Saccharomyces cerevisiae S288C: one gene and its partners. Changing the gene in region 3 together with the main gene of any one other region gives a genetic interaction. Each region holds a gene or a part of one and is shown on either strand. Other genes may lie near its edges. The genes, in order: HAL9, SPO1 and RPL20B.

What was found.
Region 1: mutations in RPL20B (region 3) and HAL9 together harm fitness more than expected from each alone (negative genetic interaction), as found in Saccharomyces cerevisiae (one large-scale study listed by BioGRID).
Region 2: mutations in RPL20B (region 3) and SPO1 together harm fitness more than expected from each alone (negative genetic interaction), as found in Saccharomyces cerevisiae (one large-scale study listed by BioGRID).

What each region holds. Positions count from the first base shown.
Region 1 is NC_001147.6:151,075-155,490, forward strand, and holds the start of HAL9 (Hal9p), read right to left. Parts: upstream 2,417-4,416; coding exon 1-2,416. Other genes in the region: protein disulfide isomerase MPD2, read right to left, coding at 2,838-3,671; DUF1 (Duf1p), read right to left, coding at 4,213-4,416. UniProt on the Saccharomyces cerevisiae protein: Putative transcription factor involved in halotolerance.
Region 2 is NC_001146.8:607,284-611,699, forward strand, and holds SPO1 (putative carboxylic ester hydrolase), read left to right. Parts: upstream 1-2,402; coding exon 2,403-2,507; intron 2,508-2,591; coding exon 2,592-4,382; downstream 4,383-4,416. Other genes in the region: HEF3 (translation elongation factor EF-3), read left to right, coding at 1-2,170. UniProt on the Saccharomyces cerevisiae protein: Regulates spindle pole duplication in meiosis I, but not in mitosis. Required for meiosis I, meiosis II chromosome segregation and spore formation. Binds phosphatidylinositol (4)P mono- and polyphosphates.
Region 3 is NC_001147.6:899,750-903,764, forward strand, and holds RPL20B (60S ribosomal protein eL20 RPL20B), read right to left. Parts: upstream 1,446-4,015; coding exon 1,445-1,445; intron 1,019-1,444; coding exon 501-1,018; downstream 1-500. Other genes in the region: DGK1 (diacylglycerol kinase), read right to left, coding at 1-179; SPS4 (Sps4p), read right to left, coding at 2,109-3,125; YOR314W (uncharacterized protein), read left to right, coding at 3,294-3,623.

The DNA of each region.
Region 1 (4,416 bases), 750 kb from region 3:
CCACTAATCGATCATAAGATTTTTTTAGGATATCGATGATCTCTTTTACCTCACCTTTCTTTTTTAGATCGTTCATATTATCCACAACGTAAAAGAAGAGAACAAACATAGCAGTAGAGAACTGATACATAACCTCGTTATACATATGCGCCTGGTAATTGATGCCTTGAAACAGCTGTAACATTTCTTTACTGGCGTTTAAGTATTGACTTGAAAAAAGAATGAATAGCTGAGGAATATCATGGCGAGAACCTTTGTATAGGCGTTCGTTATCAATCAATAAGGATGTAGTCATCATGCTCAAAATCACTTTAGAATATAGCGCCCTAAAATGACAATTCAAAACACGAGAGCATGCAATCTCAAAACTTAAAGCCGGATTTTCTTGGGATTTTTGAGCGTAAAGTACCGATAAATACTGTTTATAACTTTTTAGTTTCATACTTACGTGCAAGTTGTCTCTCCAATTGTTCAAAGAATCATTGAGATCTTTGATTTTATCAAGCATGGCATCGAATGAAAGATCTAGAGTACTTCTGACAGCAAAACAAGTAGAGTATATTTTACTCTCAATACTAACCAATTTTGAAACATAATATGATATGAAAAGGGATATGTGCTGACAAAAATTTACAACTACATTCAATGCAGAGTTGACATCAGTAATTTTATCGAGATCTTCCTTTTTATCAATAAGATCAGGTAGAATATTAGTTTTTATCACTTCATAATAATTTTGATCTGTTAGCATATCCATATCGCGTTCCCCCACAATAGGGGGTCTGGATAACATTAAAGAATATAGTTTATCTGTACAAAAACAATGCCACCACATTCTTCTTCTCCTTATGGCTTCTTCAAAGTCTAGTGACTTGTAAGAGGATTTTCTATTTAATTCCATGTCAACCGCCAATCTAATCGCGGTTCCTAAAATACAATTTGCTAGTTCAGTATCGTAGGTAAGTTGAAAATATCGGTTCAGTAGTAATAAAGCTTGTAGTGTTCTTGTACCTGAACAGATGGTGGACAGCTTATGATAATAATACATGGCATTTAGTAAGGCAACGTTTTCGATTTTTTTTAACTCTTGGGAGGTTGGATCATATCTATCTTTCCTTAGAAACTTTGAATCACCTCTTATAATTGATTGAGTGGCAGATGCACCCGAGCAGAGACACACGTTTAATAATAAATGTTCAGGATATGTGAGTTTTTCGCCGCTTTCGCTGTAGTACTTTTCTGCTAAGTCTAGACATTCTTTTAACGATATTATACCAGTTACAGAGGATAATAAGGTAGCATGAAAATTCTCAAGAAGTCTCTTTGCTTGCTTTTTCGGAGGTAATGAGTATAATATTATTTCGCTGGAGAAGAAAGCCGGAGATGACAAATCCATAAATTTTTTCATTTGAGTTGCATACCATTTTAAAGATATGCTTAATATTTCGCTGATTGGAGAAAGAAACTCCTCATTGGACGCTTTCACTCCTAAACTTTGTTTGAACCAATAGAGTTTTTGAGCAGTTAAAAGTGCCGTAGAGTATATTTTTCTCGCTGGTTTGGGCAAATTGTTCTTTTCCTTGTATTTGCCTTCCTGCTTTTTAACAGCCTTGTCCAATAACCACTCAAGTCTAGCCACACTGTCAATAATGTAAGACATTTTTCTATCCAATTTTTCAATCTTTGAATTCATTTTTTTGTTAAGATTATTTTGAATATTGGAGACTTTATCGATGATATTGCTTTCTAAGGGGGAATTACCGTTTAAAAGTTCAAACCTTCCACTGTTCGGTACTGAAGAAGACGCTACAGGATTGCTAATACTATTTGAGGTTTGAAGTGATTCCCCTGGTGTTGCATGATGTTTGATTTCTAATTTTCTTTTCTTCTTAAGAATCTCATCACGATGTTTGAAAGTGCAAGGCAACTGAAACTTAATACAGTTTGAACATTTTTTGGTCTGCTGGTCCACTTCATCACATCTGATTTTTCTTTTTCGGCAATGGTCACAGGCCTTTGATACACGTTTCTTGAGATTTTTACCAGAGCCGCTCATATCATTACTGTTAGTGTGTTCCATCATCGTGCTGATGTCACGGTTCTGTTGTGTCTGAAATTGCGACTGATGCTCTGTTGGCGAGTATATTGTATTGGGATAAGCCACATTCATGGGGATATTTGGACCTATTGTACTACCTGTCATAAGGGTGTTTTCTCTGTTAGGCATCGTCATCAGTTGATCTGGCACAGGCATCGACCATATTTGAGTTTCAGGAACCAGACGTGGGGTACCAGTTTGATGGTTTACATTTGAAATGTCACTTCTACCGGTGATTTCATTGTTAAAAACCGCATTCATATTGCTTGCTGAGTTTGAAAACCCATTTGGGCTGTAATCTCCACCTTGATTTTCCATTATTTCAAACCGAAGATTTGGAGTGGAGAGTGCTGATTTCCTAAGTTGAATTAAAGTACGATAATAAGCTCCCTAAGACATTTATTCTTTTTTCGAATTAAAGGCTTTTTATATAAAGCCATCTTTCATGTACGTAATTGGAGATTATACCAAAACCAAACAGGGTAAGAGATGTTTCTCTAATGAATAAAATAACAGTGTTACCTTAGCACAAGCCAATATTCAAAACACATGTGGTAGACCTTCTGTAATATTTATGTATATCTCCATAATCTTTCACCTACACAATCTCACTTATATTGCGGCTAACGTACATTGTTAAATATATATGTATCTGTGTATTTGTTGTACCTCAGGGTGAGGGTCCCGCTTCCGTCTGTAGTCGGTATTCGTAAAGTAAAAGACAGAGCGAAGCTTATGTTCAAAGCTCGTCATGACTACTGGTATCTTCTAACTGGTCTTCTATGTGTGATAATAGGCTCAATTGTAGACGAATGATTTTCAGTTTTTCTTTAACTTCTTTACTCAAGTCATCTCCATTTTGCTTAATTAAAGCTTCTAGTCTTCGCCTTTCCTTTTCCAGCCCATTCACGTCACCGTATAATTTAGATAAAGTATCAGAGTAGTATTCTTTACCAGCTTTACACAGAAGCTGTTGAGAACGTAATTCTTCATTGCAATTCCTAGAATCATCGAAAATATGTTCTATGAATCTTTCTTCTGTATCTTTACTTCTTACAGTATCGATAAAGTTGCTTAAACTCTTTAGGTTCCTACTCCCTTCAAAACGAACAACCCTAGACGTATCCAGTTGGTACTTAGGATTGTTGAACCACGTCTTGATTCTTTGCCATAGTCTTTCATGAAATTTCATAGACGACCAATCGAGCTTCGGAAGAACTAAGGGCTTAGTACGAGGTTTGACCAGTTCAATTATTGGAAATCCAGGCAAGTCGGTACATAAAGTTGGCCCGAAGAATTCACAGTTAACTTCAAGGAAGTTAATTGGGGTATCATCTTTATTAGCTTTTTTGGCGTATAGCTCACCAAGCTCTTCGTATACTGGGGCCAGAGTTTTACAATGTTGGCACCAAGAAGTGTAGTATTTTATCATTGTGTAAGAATCATTCCTATTGCAGATATCGAAGTACTGCTCAATCGACTTGACCATCGTGACAGCTTCACTGTAGGCCAACGCTGGTAAAATGACGACGCATGTTGATAATACGGAAAATAAAAAGCCGTGCAATTTCATCTCCTTTGTGTTTTACTTTGCCGACGTACTTGCACTAGACTCGCTGTGTTTTTTTTCTGTTGTTTTGTTGTTATGCTGTTCTTTAGCTCAAAAAATTGGCCACTGTTCCCCGCTCTGTAAATTAATTGCTCTTAAAGAAACAAAAATGATTAAAAAAAATTAGAAATATTTGAGATAATAAGAACATCATTCAGGTCGCCCATATTCACAATTATTTACAGACTGTATTTTAATGAAGAATGTGTGCATAACTTGATGGTACCTATTCAATATAAAATTTGATAAATAAATAATATTATAAAAATGTCTATGTAATTATTATAAAGCTCTAGAGTATGTATGAGTTGTTACACATAGCATTCCAATGAGTACTTGCTTTTTTCTTCGTTCTTTAGACATTTCAGAAGAATATTCTTTATCTTGTCATTGTTACTGCAACTACTATTATAGTATTATTAGTATTATTGTTGGTATTGTTACTATATATTTACGCTTAAAAACTCCAAATTCAGACCCCAAAATATAATTTAAATAAACATTATCATTTCCCCTCATTCCCGTTGACCTCATGAACTAGCGGTGAATTATGTACTTTTCTTCTGTATTCTAGAACTATGTCACCCTGAGATTTCCAGTAAAGTGTTCTAACGGTATTTAAAGTCATATCGTTATCAAGCACTTGGCCCCTACATAGTAGATCCAACCAAAGACTAGGTTCCATTTTTGCTTTCATTTCAGGAGTTTT
Region 2 (4,416 bases), on a different chromosome or scaffold from region 3:
TGTCGGGGAAGATGATGTGTTACCAGAAATATCGCATGCTGGTGATGTTTCCACAACACTGGGCGTCATCAAGGAATTACTGGAACCTGAAAAAGTGGCCCCAAGGTTCACCATTGTGGTTGAGTACATAGCCGCGATTGCCGCAAATCTAATTGATGAAAGGATCATTGATCAGCAAACGTGGTTTACACATGTTACACCTTATATGACTATATTTTTACATGAGAAAACTGCAAAGGAAATACTAGACGATTTCAGGAAAAGGGCAGTAGATAATATTCCAGTTGGACCGAATTTCCAAGACGAAGAGGATGAGGGTGAAGATTTGTGTAATTGTGAATTTTCCTTGGCATATGGTGCCAAAATATTACTAAACAAGACTCAATTGAGGTTGAAGCGAGGTAGGAGATATGGTCTATGTGGTCCTAATGGTGCCGGAAAATCCACTCTAATGCGATCCATTGCTAATGGCCAAGTTGACGGGTTCCCCACTCAGGATGAATGTCGCACTGTTTATGTGGAACACGATATCGATAATACACATTCGGACATGTCCGTTTTAGATTTTGTATATTCCGGCAATGTAGGAACTAAGGATGTTATTACCTCGAAATTAAAGGAGTTTGGGTTCAGCGATGAAATGATAGAAATGCCAATTGCATCCCTATCTGGAGGTTGGAAAATGAAATTAGCTTTGGCGAGGGCTGTTCTGAAGGACGCTGACATTCTACTATTGGATGAACCAACAAATCATCTAGACACTGTTAATGTGGAGTGGCTGGTAAATTATTTGAATACTTGCGGAATTACATCGGTGATTGTCTCTCATGATTCTGGTTTTCTGGATAAGGTTTGTCAATACATCATACATTATGAGGGTCTTAAATTAAGAAAGTACAAGGGTAATTTATCAGAATTTGTTCAAAAATGTCCTACGGCACAATCATACTATGAATTAGGTGCCTCTGACCTTGAATTTCAATTCCCAACTCCTGGTTATCTAGAAGGTGTCAAAACGAAGCAAAAGGCAATTGTTAAAGTAAGTAATATGACTTTTCAATATCCAGGGACAACTAAACCACAAGTCTCAGATGTTACTTTCCAGTGTTCTCTATCCTCAAGGATTGCAGTTATCGGACCTAATGGGGCTGGTAAGTCCACTTTAATTAATGTTCTTACTGGTGAACTGTTACCAACCAGCGGTGAAGTATATACACACGAGAATTGTCGTATAGCGTATATTAAGCAGCACGCTTTTGCACACATTGAATCGCACTTAGACAAAACTCCATCCGAATACATTCAATGGAGGTTCCAAACTGGTGAGGATAGGGAAACAATGGATAGAGCAAATAGGCAAATAAATGAAAATGACGCAGAGGCCATGAATAAAATATTTAAAATTGAAGGGACCCCAAGAAGGGTTGCAGGAATCCATTCAAGAAGGAAATTTAAAAACACGTATGAGTACGAATGTTCGTTTTTGTTAGGTGAGAACATTGGTATGAAATCTGAAAGATGGGTTCCAATGATGTCTGTCGACAATGCTTGGCTACCAAGGGGCGAATTGATTGAATCCCATTCTAAAATGGTTGCTGAAATTGATATGAAGGAAGCTTTGGCTTCTGGTCAATTCAGGGCTTTAACAAGAAAAGAGATTGAATTACATTGCGCCATGTTGGGGTTGGATTCAGAATTAGTCTCACATTCAAGAATTAGAGGTTTATCGGGTGGGCAAAAGGTTAAATTGGTACTCGCTGCCTGCACGTGGCAAAGACCCCATTTGATTGTTTTAGATGAACCTACGAATTACTTGGACAGAGATTCATTGGGTGCTCTTTCAAAAGCATTAAAAGCTTTTGAAGGTGGTGTCATTATTATTACGCATTCGGCAGAATTTACTAAGAATCTGACTGACGAAGTTTGGGCGGTTAAGGATGGGAAAATGACACCCTCTGGCCATAATTGGGTTGCAGGACAAGGTGCTGGCCCAAGAATTGAGAAAAAAGAAGAAGAGGGTGATAAATTTGATGCTATGGGTAACAAGATTAATAGTGGGAAGAAAAAAAGCAAACTCTCTTCTGCAGAATTGAGAAAGAAAAAGAAGGAGAGAATGAAGAAGAAAAAAGAGATGGGTGATGAATACGTTTCTTCTGATGAAGATTTTTAATTTGAAGTCGAGTACATCTCTTTCAGTGAGTAACTTATATATTTTTGAAGTTAACATCCTTATTCTTTTTTTATATTTTTATTTTTTTTATGTTTATTTTCTATTACTGATTTTCACAAAGAAAGGTAAAAAAAAACATACTTCAGCGGCTATACAACCATATTTAAGTAAATGCACTCAGAGAAAGTATACAAGTAAAAAACCTAAGTAAAGACATAAATATCCCAAAATAATGCAAAAACTCCTCTTTGTCTTTTCTGTGTTATTGACAGTAGTACTAGCAACAGCACCATTTCAGGTACAATGTCCTAGCTCTCCACTTATTAGGGAGGCCAAAGTAAGTTAAACTCTTTGCCACTTTAACAAATATGGGCCAAAACTAACCGAATATACCAAAACTTCGTATTCCTTTGTTTATTAGCATGAACTCTGTCCAGAAGAAACCTTGTATCTGAAGAAAAAAAAAATTAAAACGAAGAATAAACTGATTCAGTTTTTAAAATCCTTGACAGAGGCAAAGTTTAGTTCGAAGTTTTATAAACGCGTGTTGAAAGATCCTCCAAAAATTGGGATTGCTATATCTGGCGGCGGGTACAGATCCATGTTAGTAGGTACCGGATTTATTTCCCAAATGAACGATTATGGCCTTTTTGAATATTCGGATTATATTGCTGGATTATCAGGCGGAAGTTGGATCTTGATGGATTTGGTAGTTCAAAATTTTGAAGTAAAATCCCTGCTACAAGAGTGGGACCTTGAAGAGGATCTTTTATTAGGCATACCGGAATTCGATATTTCCGAAGAAGAAATTGTTACCAATGCAAAAAAGGAGTATAATGATAATGATTTGAAGATGAAGAAGCGTCAGGGGGGTTCTCTGATTACAAGCTCTTCAAATTTTTATGAACAAATAGAGGAGATCATGAATTCCATAGAAGAAATCCCAGAAGACTATATGATAACGAAGAGAAACTTGAATCCATTAGCAAGACTAAAAAAAATATTCTTTCCTAACAACACTTTCACTGGAACTGATGCGAAGATTGAAACCTTTAAAAAAGTGCTAGACTTTTACAAAAGTTTGCATTTGAAAATTAAGCCTAAAAAAATGGAGGGTTTCCAAATATCGTTCACCGATTATTGGGGTAAAGCAATCGTTCAAAGACTAAAAAAAAATTTCGATGACGATCCCAACCATTCCTTTTCGTTTTCGAAGCTTGTAAACTCGTCTAAAAAATTTAAGGAATGCAGTGTGCCGATCCCAATATTCGTTGCAAATTGCAAAAATGGACTTCTTTCAAACGTTATATTTGAATTTACGCCCTTTGAATTTGGATCTTGGGAAAATATCCTCAGACTTTTCGTCAAGTTGCCCTATTTGGGCTCAAAAATTGTTTCTGGAAAGGCCGAGAAGTGTATTAATAACTTTGATGATCTAGGTTTTATTACTGCGACGTCTTCTTCAATATTCAACAATGTGCTCATCTTCATCTGGAATTTGGCTTCTCAGTCCTCCAGAGAAGCAATGAAAGCTTTGAATATGGTTATGGGAATTTTTGGCCTAGGTAAAGAGGAAATATTTAGTATTTCGAAAGACTCCTCGAGATTAGAGACAGACTATGCCGTATATCAACCCAATCCCTTTTATCTTTATCCTGAAAAAGACAATGTCCTAACTAACAAAAATCATTTATACCTTGTAGACGGCGGAGAAGACGGCGAGAATATTCCACTCAGAACATTGGTGATTCCTGAAAGGGAACTAGATGTAATTTTTGTTCTGGATTCTAGTTCGGATATTGACAACTATCCAAACGGCTCCAAGTTAAAAAGGATATTCGAAAAATTAGATGAAGAGAACGTTCATTACCAATTTCCGAACAATGTAAAAACATTCACTCACCCCATTGTTATAGGATGCAATGCTACCAAAAGAACTGGACATGATTCATTTTTGCCAATTATAATTTATCATGCCAATGCGAATCATGGAAACGCATCTAATACGTCGACATTCAAAATAACTTACAATCAGTCTGAAGTTAGCAGTATGTTACCCACTGGAAGGGGAGTGTTTAGCAATGATTATGACCTTTATTATAAAAATTGCTTAGGCTGTATATTAACCAAAAGAACAATGGACAGGCTCCCAAGAAAAAAGAAATTTTCGCCATTTTGCTTACAATGCTTTAAAGACTACTGTTACTCATAAGAGAGTAGACTTTTTCTGTGAAATTTAATGAGTT
Region 3 (4,015 bases):
TTCAAATGTATTTCTGTCACTGGAACGTGTGCATCGTCATCGCTACTACTAATTTCTTCTTTTGCTGGAATCGTTACTTTCGCCGAGACTTGATGACTCTTAGATGATAGTCTTTGCTTAGCTTCGGTACGCGGCTCTAGCGTGCTATTTGGAAGGGCAATGGCATCTTCGGTCCCCATATTGTCTGTAAACCCTGTATGAATCCAAATGACAGAAATGCGTAGATATCTGTTTACGTAATGTTCAACTGCTCTACGACAACACCGCTCAGGATTTTTATAATTACGCTACGTTTTATATTTATCGCAGAAAAACCAATAATTTGTTACCCGCTATGGACCCTGGATTTTGTAAAGATACATGGCATGACATTGTGCTTTCACGCTGGTAGTGCATAATGTAAGAGAAGAAACAGGATATATTTTAAAATTTCCTTGAATCTACAAAATGAATTATACAAAATTTTATTATACTAAAAAACGTAGAAATATCTTGTTGGCTTAGTAGAAGGTTGATGGTCTCTTGTAAGAGAAAGTCTTGGTAGATTTTTGGACTCTGTGAGGTAATGGGAATTTTAAATCCTTGGTCAAGAATTGCTTGACGTATTGTCTCTTGACATCAGCAGTCTTTTCAATTTCAGCAACCTTCAAGATGTGAATAGATCTAAATCTAGCTCTGTGTCTAGCAGCCATGTCTTGGTATAAGGTTTCGACGGCAGCAACTCTGGATACGTCTCTGATTTCCTTGTACATGTTGTGAGTACCAGATCTGGAATCGTATCTAACCCAAACACCGAAGTTCTTGACCTTGGTTGGGTGAGCTTCGTTGATTTGGTTGATGGAAACAATTTCACCAGAAGCCTTCTTAACCTTGTGCAATTTTTGCAAGAAATACCAGTAACGAGACTTGGCGATGACTTCATTTGAAGCAAAAATTCTCATTCTGAACAACTTTGGTTCTGGAACGGATTCAGTTGGTAAACGACGACCAATGACTTGGTATTCTTTGAAATGAGCCACTGTTAAAGATAAAAATCAAAAAAGAATTTATTCTTGTTAGTAAACTTGCATATTTCAAAAATATTGCTTTATTGCAGACAATTACATGTAAATGAATGTTTCAAAATAGATCTCTGATTCAGTTAATTTCCTCTATAATTCCTGGATGGTAGTTCTATAGTCCTCATGTGAAGACTTCTCAAATGATATTAACCATATCATCAGTATTAAATGGTACACCGCCTTCCTTCTAGAAGCAATTTATGGTAATAATCGTATTCAGTATTCGGCGTATTTCAGGAAAAACATTCACAGGTTGCATTGACTTATTGGGTATTCTTCAGTATTTTAAATTTCCACGATATGTTCATTCAATTTGAGCTCACCATATAAAATAGCTACATTGACATTCATTCCACAAGCATACAATACATTCTATTACATACTTTTTCTTTGCTTGATTCCTTTGTTACGGTTCTCTTCTATTATCTTCTGCAAAAATAATGCCCTCAAAAACGGTTATATCTATCTATTAGAGTTACTTCTTCGTACTGTTGCCAACTCGAGCGGAAAGAAATTAGACAGAATCTGGCGGAAAATTGAGAAAGAGCTAGACAGACTATGCGGAACAACTTGGAATCTGCCTCTGTCCGTGTGGCCTGGCCCTGGCCTGGGAAGTAACTGTCTAGGCCGCGGACATTTTTCTCTTCGGTAGTAAGCCGCCCTACTGGTCATGGGGTTACCTGAAAGAGATAAAAATTCAAAGATAGCATCGCGCCGTCGGAAACGTAAAATGTACGGGTGAACAGTCCCGAAAACCGTATTTATTGTTTTGGGGAAGAGCTTGTTTACTTCGTGCCTACAAACAATCAGCACCTTAAGATATGACAGAATAGCTTGCTATTTGATTTTTTTTTTATCTAGCTTGTAAATATTTATTAAGCCTTTCCTTACAAAAAAATATATTTTCTTTTACCTCTTTTTTATGTTGAGCGTGTATACATTGGTAAATTTAAGTTCAGTGCTTTCAATAGATAACACCTATTGAATTTGCGCCAGTAGGTACAAATTGAAATTCTCGCCTATATTAAAATTATTTTCTATGCGAACTTATTGTACTAGATGTGGTAAATCTCCTCCCTCAGATTTGTTGCCAAAAAATCTAAACAAACTTCTATCGGTGACAGAGGCCCAAATTTCGCGTTCTAAATCAGTTATGGTATCCCAAGTACCTCTCAATACATTTTTCATTTTTAAATCGGCCTGTTTGTCTAAGTTTTTATTATAAACAGAGTTTGTATGATATCCATAGGCAATGGGAAGCTTTGCAATACCAACAACTTGATGACTAACTGCAGAAACTGCTCTTGTCATAAAATTGTATTCTAAAGCTAGCCCCCTATTAAACTCACAAGAAAAGGAATCATTTGGAACTTTCTTACCTTTGGGCAAATACTTTACCGTTACCTTTTCGAATGTATTATTGACTGGTAACAAAACAGGGTCAAGTTGCCCCCTTATCAAAGGCTTGCCCTTTGTGTCTATGAATTTTTCATTATAGTACTTCCTAAATTTCATCAACCTTCCATGGACAGGTTGGTAAACATAGTTGTCTCCATTTCTTGCTGTCGTATCCCTGAGCTGCTTTCCATACTTTTTCGACAAAGTATACGGAAGTGCAATTTCCTCACCTAATCTTTTATAAGTTTTTGTTTTCAAAGAAGGGACAACGCGCTCTACTGTACTTAAAGTCGAATTGGCCATCTTGTCAAAAAAATTGACCACTGGTGCTACGGCTTGAACGGGACGTGACACTACCACTTTATCGATTCTAGGCTTTGTTTGTGCTAAAATAATTCTCGTTAGAGCAATCTTCTTTGCAATCTCTTCTGTTTCTTGCACTATTGGATAAGTTTCTATGTGATCAACTGTTTTCAAATTTAATCTACCCCTCCTAGCTGCATGTTCATTTGCACTGAGATTACTGTTTTCGGTAAAATTTTCTGTAACTGCTTCTTGTGTCTGCGATTGTTCCATTTCATTGGGTTCATTCGTGTTTTTGTGTAAAAAATTCTTATTTTCTTCTTGTGGTTTTGTAACCTTCACTATATTCAAATTTGATGGCATGTTTGTTGAAATATGTTATGTGAAACCAATGTAGCAAAAACAATTTTTTATGTTCTTGTTGCTTGCCTCTCAAAAATAACAAAGGAAGAAATTTTGTCGAAAGTGTAGTAGAAGGAGGTAAAAAGTGAACACTTCTTAGCAATTTATAGTTCCAAAATTTATGAATTAATGACAATGATACGTTTTTGTGGCGCGCGTCAATCGGCGATAATCAGCAACGCGTCTGACGCTGCTGCAGGAACCAACAAAAAAAGGATACTAAACCCTCTTGAGTCCTTGTGTCTTAACGACCGCATAGACGAACACCGTTGCAAAGAAGTCCAGTTATCTTCATTACGAAGTCTATTGTATGCTATGATTTTAAATAGAACCATAGGCAGCGAGACCGGCGTTTTTTCTTTTCTGCTCTTTTCTTTTCGTTACTTCGGAGAGGAAAGAGACTTATTTTACTGCTTCTTCTCCGTCTTTTTACTTAACATTACATATTTATTGGATTAGAACTTTTGTATAGGGGTAAACAATACTGAGGATATTCATAACTATCTTTTTTAGGTCTCCTTGGCTCTTTTAAGTAGAACAAAAAAATCTAGGACAGTTGCTTTGCCTTTTCAATGTCAGTTAAAAAAATAATGGAAACGTTAGTTCCCACCCAGAAAGACAACAAAAAAGTGTTTTCTTTTCGAAGTATTCCAAGATTTCGTTGTCATGGCATATCGGTACAATCTTTTGGTTGGAATGAATAAAATCAGTTATCGTCCCACCAATGGGAATAGAGCATATAATGTTATCTCAGGACAGCAGTGATGTCCAAGAAAGTAACTACGAGAGTTTTACTATACTACATATTATAAGGACAAATAGTTGCATAGCAACAAGCTTGGGGGATAAAC